Linked DNA regions of Mus musculus. The protein of the gene in region 1 interacts with the protein of each later gene in a biochemical or structural test. Links are inferred from orthologs where the notes say so. Each region holds a gene or a part of one and is shown in the gene's direction. Other genes may lie near its edges. The genes, in order: Mad2l1, Ubd and Rev3l.

Region 1 (3,543 bases):
CAATATAATATATGTGGGCCATGTAATCACTGGCTTAAACGTACAGGAGATGATCCTAGACTCATTCCTAATTTAGATGAAGCTCTACTGTACTTCCCCTATTGCCGTGAACTTTGTAAACTAAAGATTGCAAGCACTCTACATCAGAAATGCCTATCATGCTAAGCATGTGCTTCTGGAAGGTACTGTAATGAAGAGCAGTTTGTTTCTGAAGTCTTCAATCTATAGGAAGTCGTTAGCTTATAAAAACATTTGTATGTAATTTATTTTACCTGATTCAATCAGGAATCCGGTATTTAGATGTTACCTTTAAAAAAAAAAGTCAAAATTTAGGCTGGAGAAATGGCTCAGTGGTTGGGAGCACTGGCTACTTTTCTAGAGGACCCAGGTTCAGTTTCCAGCAGCCACATGGCAGCCCACAACTCTGTTTAACTCCAGTTTCAGGGGATCCCCGGCAACAGGTATGCATGTGGTGCACATAAATGTGCATGTGGGCAAAATACCAAAGTTCTACCAAGTTAATTTGTTGGAATCCATTTTCCTTTATGTTAAAGACTTACTGAAAATATGCTTACTGAGAGTGGTTGGGAAACTTACCATGCACAGAAGGACCAGATACTAAGATCAGCCTTAAAGAATGATGGGAAGGACAGATACAGTAACCCAAGAATATCTTTAGCCATTAATCTTTAGTCTCCTAATGTATTGCATCTGTGTTGTTGGAAGCATTTTGTTCAGAGAGAGTTACCAACGTGTTTTAATTAACTTAATGAAACCTAGAAGGAGTTATTTCTTTGATTTTTTTTTTTTTTTTTTTTTTTTTTTTTTATAGTGTTCGTAGAGAAAAGTCCCAGAAAGCCATACAGGATGAAATTCGCTCAGTGATTAGACAGATTACAGCTACTGTGACATTTCTGCCACTGTTGGAAGTTTCTTGTAAGTATTGTACAACTTAACTTAAATTTGCTGGAGAAAATGTTCATTACCGTTAGGAGGAGCCTACATTTGTTAAATCTCTTAATTTATCATTGCCTTGTAACATAAATGGGATATGGGAAGCAGAATACAGCACAAATAAAAACATGCATATCTGAAAACTGTGGAGACAAGGACTGGGGGGATGGCTCAGTGGTTAAATACTTGCTGAGCAACTGTAAGGACCTGAGTTAGGATTCCCATCACCAGGATCCTCCAGATGGTTGTGATGGCTCACCTATAACTCCAGCCAGAGAGGCAGGAATAGGCTCATCAGAGCAATCTGGCTCCCAGAACTATCCACGTTGGCCAGCTCTCGGTCTGCTTCGTCAATAAAGTGAAAGCACAGCTGTTAATTTGGAGACTCCGCCTGTGTGTTCATACATACACACTCAAGAAAATGAAGAAAAACATGAAAACCCTAAAAAACAGAAGTATACAACAATACTTTTGAAATTTTTCTCACAGTTTTACTACTTTTATTTTCTACTAGGAAGTATAATGCTCCGTTCTACACCCAGTTTCTATCAAGTAAAAGATTCATTAGACCAGGCTAAGCTACCTTTCTAGCAAGAGGTGGTTCAAAGTGAGGCCCAGTGAGAGAGAGGCAGGGAGGAGACTTCACTATTGAACAGCTTTCCTTTACTCCCATTCCCAACGTAGGTTCCTTTGATCTGCTGATTTACACTGACAAAGACTTGGTGGTACCTGAAAAGTGGGAAGAATCGGGACCGCAATTTATTACCAATTGTGAAGAAGTCCGTCTACGCTCATTTACAACCACAATCCATAAAGTGAATAGTATGGTGGCCTACAAAACCCCTGTCAATGACTGACGAGACGGTGAGGAAAAGGATGGAATTGTCATTCCCAAGTGTGCTTTTCCAGAAATTAAGTCAAATAGAGTTGCTACATTTCCTTGTTTAATTTTCCGGTGAAGAAAGCTAAGATCCGACATTGATAAATGTGTGTTATTGTTCCATTTCTTGGGTTCTTCCTGGACTTGTCTGAGTCGACAAGAGTGCTGCACATTGTTAAGGGGAATCAACAGATTTTGTTAGCATTGTGGAATGAATTCCTTTAAAAATGGTCATTGTACATAGAAAAACTTCTGTTAAAACGCTAACTACTTCCCTTAACATTGTAACTGGACCAGGATATAAAGAAGCGTTTAAATGTAAACACAGCAGAAGGGATCAAAGCTTTTTTAGTTCTGAGGGTCAGTCAGGAATGTTGCCAATCCGGATCCAGTGAGAGAGGCAGGGAGGACAGCTTTACTATTCAAAAGTTCTGTACTTTACTCTCATTCCCAACTTAGGTTCGTTTGGTCTGCTGATTTACACTGACAAAGATTTGGTGGTGCCTGAAACGAGGGAAGAATCAGGACCCCAGTTTATTACCAGTTCTGAAGAAATCCGTCTACACTGATTTACAACCACAAGCCACAAAGGGAATAGTATTGTGGCCTACAAAACCCCATCAATGAAGAGACGGTACACATACCATCCCCCATCACATTATACCTTCTGCTGTATTTATATTTAGATGCTTCTTTATATCTTGGTCAAGATTCTTCTGAGCAAAATCATTAGACAAAGTATTTAGCTTTTTAAAAGAAGTTTTTCTACCTACAGTGACCATTGTTAAAGGAATCCATCCCACAGTGAATCTGTTGGCTCCCTTAATAACGTGTAGCACTCTTGCTGATTCTGTGGTAAGTTCAGGAAGAACCCACGAAATGCAGCAGTAAGACACATTTCTCTTTATATAGACCCCATATTGAAATACATGCTAATTATTTGATTTTGTTGTATATATCTTGAGCTCACAAAGCAGTTGATGCTGTTTAATTTCTGTAATAAAGAACTCTTATTTTAATGTTTTATAAAAATCAAGCTTTAAAAGTCAGTGATACAAAAAAATTAAGCCTTGTGTTTTAAATTTGTGTTACAGTATCTTTGATATTTAGTTTGGTGCTAATATAGTCAGATACTTCAGTGGATTGAGTGGATGGATTGTGTTCATTTTGATTATGTGATGGGGATGGTTTTGTGCACTGGAAATTCAGATGCTGATTGCTGTGCTCAGAGATCTTGTTGTAATCTGGATATTGGCAGTTGCAGTCCTTGTTATAATAGTAGGCCAGGCCAGCATAGCCGGGTCAGAACACATGAGAACACTGCCCAGTTAGCACAAGAAGCTTGTAATAAAAATACCATGTCTGTATCATTTATTTGGGAACAAGGGTGGTACAGAAAAGCCTCCAAAATTACTTTTACATTTTGTAGGGCTTTATTAACCAATCAGACATGGTGGAAACCAATCTTTACACATTGAGCTAGGTGATGCTTCAAATACCATGACAATGCCAACTTCCAGACTGCAACCAGATCTCAGCATAGCACACAGTCCACAAGACCATCCCCAAACAACTACGTACCACCTTTTTCATCACAACAGTACAGTTAATGTGAAGACGCAAATGCCCTCTGAAATTAGTTCAAATATTAGGCTGTGTTGTCAGCCTTGTGTTTCTTATGATCTTGAGCACCATGCTTAATCCTTTGC
Region 2 (3,756 bases), on another chromosome or scaffold:
AGGAAGATTTGGGAGGAATTGGGGGAGGGGAAAACATGATCAAAAAAAGAAAAAAAGGTTTTTCAGTGGATGAGTACATAGCCACTTCAAGTACAGAAAACAAGAGGAATAATTTGGAAAATTTACAGAGTTCTTTGGGGGGGGGGGAGAACCCCTGAAGCTGTTTAATAAACAATTTTGAAAATTAGTTTCATGGAGTGTCCTACCTCAGAAGCCAATGTCAAACTTGGAATATTAGGAGTATCAGGTTTCTTGAGGAGACAGCTCAGTCACAATCTTGGTCTCATTCAACCAACTTTCAACAGTGAGGGAATAGCACCATCACATGTCTCTGGCCTCAGGGAGAGGAGGCATCTGAGAGCCAAGGGGGTGGGGGTGGGAATCCAGGAACTGTGGTGCACATATGGAGAAAGGTAGGAGTCAGAATTTAACTGTTGATTTTGGATTGTTCTCAAGTAGTATGTTTGGTTTGCAGATTCTGAGTCAGGTTGGGAAATGTATTAGAGGTTCAAGAACCAAGAATCCAAAGTAAGTGTGTGTGTGTTTGTATGTGTGTGTGTTTAAAGACTTTATAAGCAAGGTTCTATATGCTGGGGAGACACCAGGAATGGCCTTCTATGTTAACCTATATTAAAAGAGGGGAACATATTTTTACAACATAATGTATGTAGCAAGCGGTACCCTACCCCAGGACACCAAGTCACAGCTGCAGTCCAGGCTCATTTAGGCAGTGAGGGAGGGTAAGCAAGCATCACAAATTATCAAGCTAGCTAGTGGAAGATTAGTAGTAGCTGGGCAGAACTAAGGCAGGATTGGGAGAAGGTAGGGGGATTTTCAGCCTGGGCAAAATTCCTATCTTAGAATGACTATTCTATGCACAGAACTAGGAATACAGATAGATTGGCTAAGGGGAGAAATCTGTGTACAAACAGTGTCCATTATGAACTCTACCCCAGCAAAAGTGAAAGGAATTATTGAGAACAAAGGTTGCTGCTAAACTGGACAACACATTGAACTTGGGGATTTCCAACCCAGCTACTCACATATAAGCAGACACAAGGACTCTTTTCTTATTCAGCCTCTGACTACAGACATGGCTTCTGTCCGCACCTGTGTAAGTTGGGGTTTGGTAAACGAATGGGAAGGAAAAGTATTTCCATGTATTGGGGGTACAGTTCCACAACTTGGGAGGGGACAGTGGTCTAGAAGGTGAGGCAGTTGGGTGAGAAACATTTAGGAGAAAAGGCAGACATTGATAACTGCACAATAGGAAGAGGGTACTCTGAAGAGAGGTTGGTCATTTGACTTATTAAACTTTTAAAATATTTTATTTATTATATGTGTGCATGTATATGGTGGGTCAGAGCCAGAAGATAACCTTCAGGAGTCAGTTCTCTCTCTTCACCACATAGGTTCTAGGGATCAAGCTTAAAGGTGAGGCTTGGCAGCAAGAGATTTTATTGACTGACTGATTGATTGATTGATTTACTTATTTGTTATTTATTTAAACAGCTGAGCCATTTTTGCCATCCCCACTTAGGAGAAATGGTAGGACACTTTGCTTCATGAGGCTGGCAAGATGTGAAATTAGGAAAATAACTTACAGAGTTCTCAGCCTTAAGCGTCTCTCTCTTTTCAAAGGAAAACTTCATAAAACTTGTTTTTCTTGTTATTGGTGACATAACTAACACATTACCTTAAACAGGTTATGCTCCAATGTAAAGAATGTGCAATTAGGGCAATGTCCAATACAAGACAAAACTGAAGAAGAATATGGAATATCTAGGTTGGGAAGGTTCCTTGAATGGAGTATGAGGAAGTTTTCATAAAGTTTACAGGCCTGATTCTTCCCTAACTTAATTCTTCAGTAAATGAAGTTAAACTCAGATATAGTTTTTGTCTTCTGTGAATGGGATCCTGGTCTAATTTAAAAAGGATATTATGTTCTATATCAATGGATATAAAATACAAGAGATACACATTAACACCATTAAGCACAGCATCACCACAACATGGACATTACCAGAAATGGACGGGAACATTAATAAGAACGCAGCAGTGTAGAGACTATGTCTTAACTAGGGTTCTTTCTGAATTAGTCACAGAGGGTGAGTCATGGCTGAGAGCATTCTGTGAGGCTGCCAAATCTTGGAAATCCTCTTTGGGTTTGCTTAGGGATCTGTATACAACGTTTGAAGCCCTATAGTTTCACGAAGCCGATGTTCTGATTTGGGTTATGATGTAGGAATCAAAAGTTGCAAGAGAGGGAGAGATGCAGACTGTTGAGAAGGAGCCAGAGGGCCAACCAGGAGAACAGTGAAGCTGAGGAGTAGGGGGTAGAGGGTGGCAGGCGTTCTTAGATGACGCTCTTGGCTTTCTTTGCCTAGGTTGTCCGTTCAGACCAATGGCGGTTAATGACCTTTGAGACCACTGAGAATGACAAAGTGAAGAAGATAAATGAACATATTAGGTCCCAAACCAAGGTCTCTGTACAGGACCAGATCCTTCTGCTAGACTCCAAAATCCTCAAGCCCCATCGAAAATTGTCATCCTATGGGATTGACAAGGAAACCACTATCCACCTTACCCTGAAGGTGGTGAAGCCCAGTGATGAAGAGCTGCCCTTGTTTCTGGTGGAGTCCAAAAACGAGGGGCAAAGGCACCTCCTCCGAGTTCGAAGATCCAGCTCAGTGGCCCAGGTGAAAGAGATGATCGAGAGTGTGACCTCTGTGATCCCTAAGAAGCAGGTTGTGAATTGCAACGGAAAGAAGCTGGAAGATGGAAAGATCATGGCTGACTACAACATCAAGAGTGGCAGTTTGCTCTTTCTGACAACACACTGCACTGGGGGATGACCACGGGGATGCGGTGATGAGAAGCTCAAAGCCGATTTCCTCTGAGCTATTACCAATCACATCTCTTGATGATATAAAAAATTAACGAGAATGAAATAAATATTTGAGGGAAGTGGAGTAGATTAAAAGTATTTGTCAAGTCTGTGAATCTTGTTTCTAACATAGTTCATTCGCAGGGTTGTTGATGAGGGCAAAAGCTGAACCTTTAGTCAGGTGTGGTGGTGCAAACTTAATTCCAGGACTTGGGATGCAGGGGAAGGTGGATCAATGAATGATTGTTGAACCAAATTGAATTTTAATTATAGAGTATAGAGAAAGAATGTGTTATGGAATATGATTGTTTACCATAACTGGATCATAGTCTAATAAATTATTTAAATTCAGTCATCATCTTCTTAAAGATATTTGGTATGAAATAAAACCTAACACCCTCTCCACGTGTCGGGTGGGCAAGGAAGGGGAAGAGCCTTATCCTATCCGGCAGATGGGAGTCCCAGTTTAACCAGGGCCAGCACAATTGCCTATTATTTGCAGACATTCTTTGACGTTCTGTAGTGGGCATGGTGACCTGGCTAGGTTTGCATTAGCTGGACTGGCTCCCCAAGAATGGAAACCATGTCTTGTTTCTGGAAGAGATCTCTGTAAGGTGGGGCCCATAACTTCTTTGTTAACCCGAGAGAGACTCCACCTGATGGGCGAGGTCATGGAATTTTTTAAGGTCTTTTGTAAGCCTGGAGAAAAAAATAAAGGTCAGCACCAGGGTGCTCATCATCTTATCTCCAGGTGGATTCTTCAGGGCTGGTACAAAGTCTCCTCAGAGTGCATCTGACCCCCTCCTGCATCCTGCTTCCCTCCTTACTGAGAGTCCCAAGAGCCATTTACCACATCACCATTTAAGAGT
Region 3 (3,656 bases), on another chromosome or scaffold:
CATTCACCACCATCTCACCTCATGTGCCCCGTGAGTAGTTACAGGTACATCTGATCTTTCAGTCCACCCCACCCCGTCCATCTCTCTCTCTGTCTCTCTCTGTCTCTCTGTCTCTCTCTCTCTCTCTGTCTCTGTCTCTCTCTCTCAGTGAATAGTACTATGACCCCGTCAGTCACCAGAGTCAGACACAATATATATGTAGCACCACCTGATTGTCTTGGTAAGCACCTTGATTTTCAATCCATTACCAAGTTCTTTCATTTTATCTCTGCCACCACAACCTTATGTGGCTTATTATCATCTCTGGCCTAAGTGTCTACAGGCCTTCTTAGACACTCTCGGTGCATGGCAATCAGAAGAAATAATTTATGTGTACCTACTACACATATTTCAGTTCAAAGACACCAAGCTTTAATTAGATAGATATAAATTCTCAATTAGTTCCTCCCTCACTCAGAATTTGGTTTGTAGGAAATTCAGTTGCATACAGACAACTGCAGTCCAAAAATACTCTTATAATACTCTGTAAGTACATGATCCATAAGTTTTAAGTCATGTGCTATTTTGAATATCATGAAATATGAACCATCTCTTTGTCTGATGTATGCATTCTATCCATGATACCCTTTTTCATCATTTAGTAGTTGTCTCAGTACTCCATCCAACTGTTGTGGGATTGGAGCACTCATGTTCAAATAGCCTTTATTTTACTTCATGGCTCTGGAGCATAGAAGTAATGGTGCTGACCATTTATAGATTCATAGATGCCAAGGGGAACAGGAAAACACAGTCTTTTTGAAACAGTGGGGAAAATAAGAATGTTTGAGAAAGAGCTAACATGCATGTAACTTATTAGAGTATATTATAATTCTGTTTTATTACTGGGTTTGTTAATCTTACTGGGCCTAGTTTATGAATTAAAAGCTATTATTATGGGGGTAGGTAGGTAGAGCAAAACAGTGTAAACAGAAGCCAGAGGTTCCAGAACAATCAGCACAGATAAGGGAAACTGTTGTCATTTCACTTCCATATACAATTCTTTCTAGAATACAAAAGAAACTATGTCACTCCCTCCTCATCAGAAACACATGATAAATGAGTGAATTAGCCCCAAGAGTAATGACTAAGTTTTCTAGCTCAGTAGTAAAACATAAATGTGCTTATTTTAAAATGTAGAAGTATGAAGTATTTTGTAGAAATTGGAGGTTTTAATTTCATTTTAAAATTATGAAATCTGAAAAAATGCATATAGCAGTATTCACAAATGATATTTGATTGAAACAACAAAATTTGCTTTAAGAAAGAGAAGCAGATGTACAAGTTAAAAATGAAATTTCTTTCTACAGAACCAAAAACCCAGAAGTTGTATAATAAGAAAGGAAGTGATGCTGATGGTCTCAGGAGAGTTCTCCTGACAACGCAAGTGGAGGTAACTGTGCCAGACACCTACAGCTCAGTGCAAGGCCAAGTCTGCGCTTCAGAGCTCTCTGTGTACTAACTTAATGTGTATTATTTTTGCCATCATTATTTACACATCTTTGAGAAAAATCTAGTTTTTTATTGTTGGGATAGAAAAGATTCTTATGTGTAAATGCAAATATTCCAGAGACAGTGACTATGACAGCCAGAATGTAGGTTATGCCGATACATATACATTAGCTGGTAACAGCATCAGAGCATCTTATCACAGCAGAGCTTAAGGAATGGTTCAGTTGCTTGAGTTGGTGTTCTGTTGTTTGGTTTTGTTTTGTTTTGTTTTTGAAACAGGATTTCTCTGTGTAATAGAGCCCCAGCTGTCCTGGAACTCATTCTGTAGACCAGGCTAGCCTCAAACGAGCAGAGATTCACCTGCCTCCGTCTCCCAAGTACTGGGATTAAAGGCGTGTACGCCCACCACCTGACTAAATAAGTGATTTTTTTTTTTAAATCTCAACAAAAATATATTTTTTTCTTTGGGTTTTTTCCCAAATATTACTTAATTTTTAATTTTCTTCACCAAGTTACAAAAGAAAGCAGCATTATGTATTATTGAAGTTGAGGAATTATAACTGTCCTTATTCAAATACTAAAGATATGATAGTTCTTAATTGAGAAGTATGAAAGCAGTAGTCAGGTAGAACTTCTATACATATTAGACATTATCTTTGGAAATAAATGACAGAAACCACTTCCATATTATCTACTACTCAGAAAGGTCATTACATATAAGATGTATTTTTATACTGAGGCTATACTACAAACTTTGATTTATAAAGGTTTTGAATTATAACCTATTGATATTAAAAACAAGTAGCAGTGCATTGTAAACATAAGTCAACATGTTACATAAAATGGTTAATCTACTTAAATAGCATAAGAGGTATTTTAAGAACAGAGAGAGCTGGATATGGTTGGTCACACATGTAATCCCAGCATTGGGGAGTCTGAGACAGGGATCACCATGAGTACTAGGCCAATCTGGGCAGTAGCATGAGACATGGCTAACAAAAGAGGGGGGGGGCAGCAAGAAAAGAAGAAAATTGTAAAAGAAATAGGAAGTGTCTATTCTAAATGCTTGAAAGCTTTTCTCCAATATGTGTAGAGTGGGGTAAGGTGCACCATTTGCAAATGTTAGCCAAGCAGTTGTAAATGTTAAATACTTGATGTTCTTTCAAGAAAGGTCAAGGTCCATATCCATGTAGTGATGTAGTGTAAATGATATAAGTATATGTGAGCTCTGCCTGACCACTGCTTTCAGGATTGGGGCTTGTCAATCAGGGTTTGTTTATAGATTGCATCCTATTCTACAGTTACTAAAATAAAATGAATGTTAATAAACTTTTTCTTAAACTTAAAGAGAATCTTTATGTTTATCATGTTCATTATTTATTACTAAGTACATAAAATGTTTAAGCAAGAATAATCCAAAGAAAGAATGGTTGCTTATGCCCTTTCTGAATGTGCCTTTTTTTTTTTTTTTAAATAGAATCAGTTTGCGGCAGTAAATACTCCAAAGAAAGAAACTTCTCAGATTGATGGACCGTCCTTAAACAATACCTACGGTTTCAAAGTCAGCATACAGAACTTACAGGAGGCAAAGGCTTTACACGAGGTAAAACTGCAGCTTTAAGGCTGCACACACTATGCTTAGTTAGCAGGATTTGTCCATAGGACAAGGATGGAAATGTTTAACCAGAAAGGGATATATTAAATTCTCTTTGTTGATCTCCATCTTGCTATTCTACTGTACTTGTGTAAAACAGAAAAAAGTAAATATTGACCAGTTACTGAGATTGATTTATATTCTCACATTTTTGCAAAATTAATAACTAAAATTTAGTTTATAGAAATTAAATTAGAAAATATTTTGAAATTTTAGAATTATGTATACAAGTCTTCTCTTTACCCTTAATACATGTTCATTCTTCCTAATTAAATTGGTTGTTTTGTTTTACTTGGCTATAGGACAGAGGTTTTTCCCTTAAAGTTTTTGTGTTTACTAAGTTAAATGTGTGCTAATTATTAACAATAAAACCTATAGGATATAAGTTTCTAAGAAAACATTCTGGGGCATGGGGATGCTTAGAAGATGGCTCAGTCACTGAGATGCTTGCTGCTTCAGATCCTAGCGCCCACCTGTGAGTCTTGGGTATGGCAATGTGTGTGTAGTGCCCCTG

Evidence for each region.
Region 2: the proteins of Mad2l1 (region 1) and Ubd form a complex in vitro, tested with the Homo sapiens proteins (2 studies listed by BioGRID). The link is inferred for Mus musculus from reciprocal best matches to the Homo sapiens genes MAD2L1 and UBD.
Region 3: the proteins of Mad2l1 (region 1) and Rev3l form a complex in vitro, tested with the Homo sapiens proteins (2 studies listed by BioGRID). The link is inferred for Mus musculus from reciprocal best matches to the Homo sapiens genes MAD2L1 and REV3L.

The regions. Positions count from the first base shown.
Region 1 is NC_000072.6:66,538,133-66,541,675, forward strand, and holds the end of Mad2l1 (mitotic spindle assembly checkpoint protein MAD2A), read left to right. Parts: intron 1-832; coding exon 833-936; intron 937-1,638; coding exon 1,639-1,811; 3' UTR 1,812-1,818; exon of another isoform or gene 1,819-2,293; 3' UTR 2,294-2,975; downstream 2,976-3,543. UniProt on the Homo sapiens protein: Component of the spindle-assembly checkpoint that prevents the onset of anaphase until all chromosomes are properly aligned at the metaphase plate.
Region 2 is NC_000083.6:37,192,859-37,196,614, forward strand, and holds Ubd (ubiquitin D), read left to right. Parts: upstream 1-1,033; 5' UTR 1,034-1,093; coding exon 1,094-1,114; intron 1,115-2,387; coding exon 2,388-2,855; 3' UTR 2,856-3,243; downstream 3,244-3,756. UniProt on the Homo sapiens protein: Ubiquitin-like protein modifier which can be covalently attached to target proteins and subsequently leads to their degradation by the 26S proteasome, in a NUB1-dependent manner.
Region 3 is NC_000076.6:39,829,553-39,833,208, forward strand, and holds part of Rev3l (DNA polymerase zeta catalytic subunit), read left to right. Parts: intron 1-1,346; coding exon 1,347-1,429; intron 1,430-2,965; coding exon 2,966-3,091; intron 3,092-3,656. UniProt on the Homo sapiens protein: Catalytic subunit of the DNA polymerase zeta complex, an error-prone polymerase specialized in translesion DNA synthesis (TLS). Lacks an intrinsic 3'-5' exonuclease activity and thus has no proofreading function.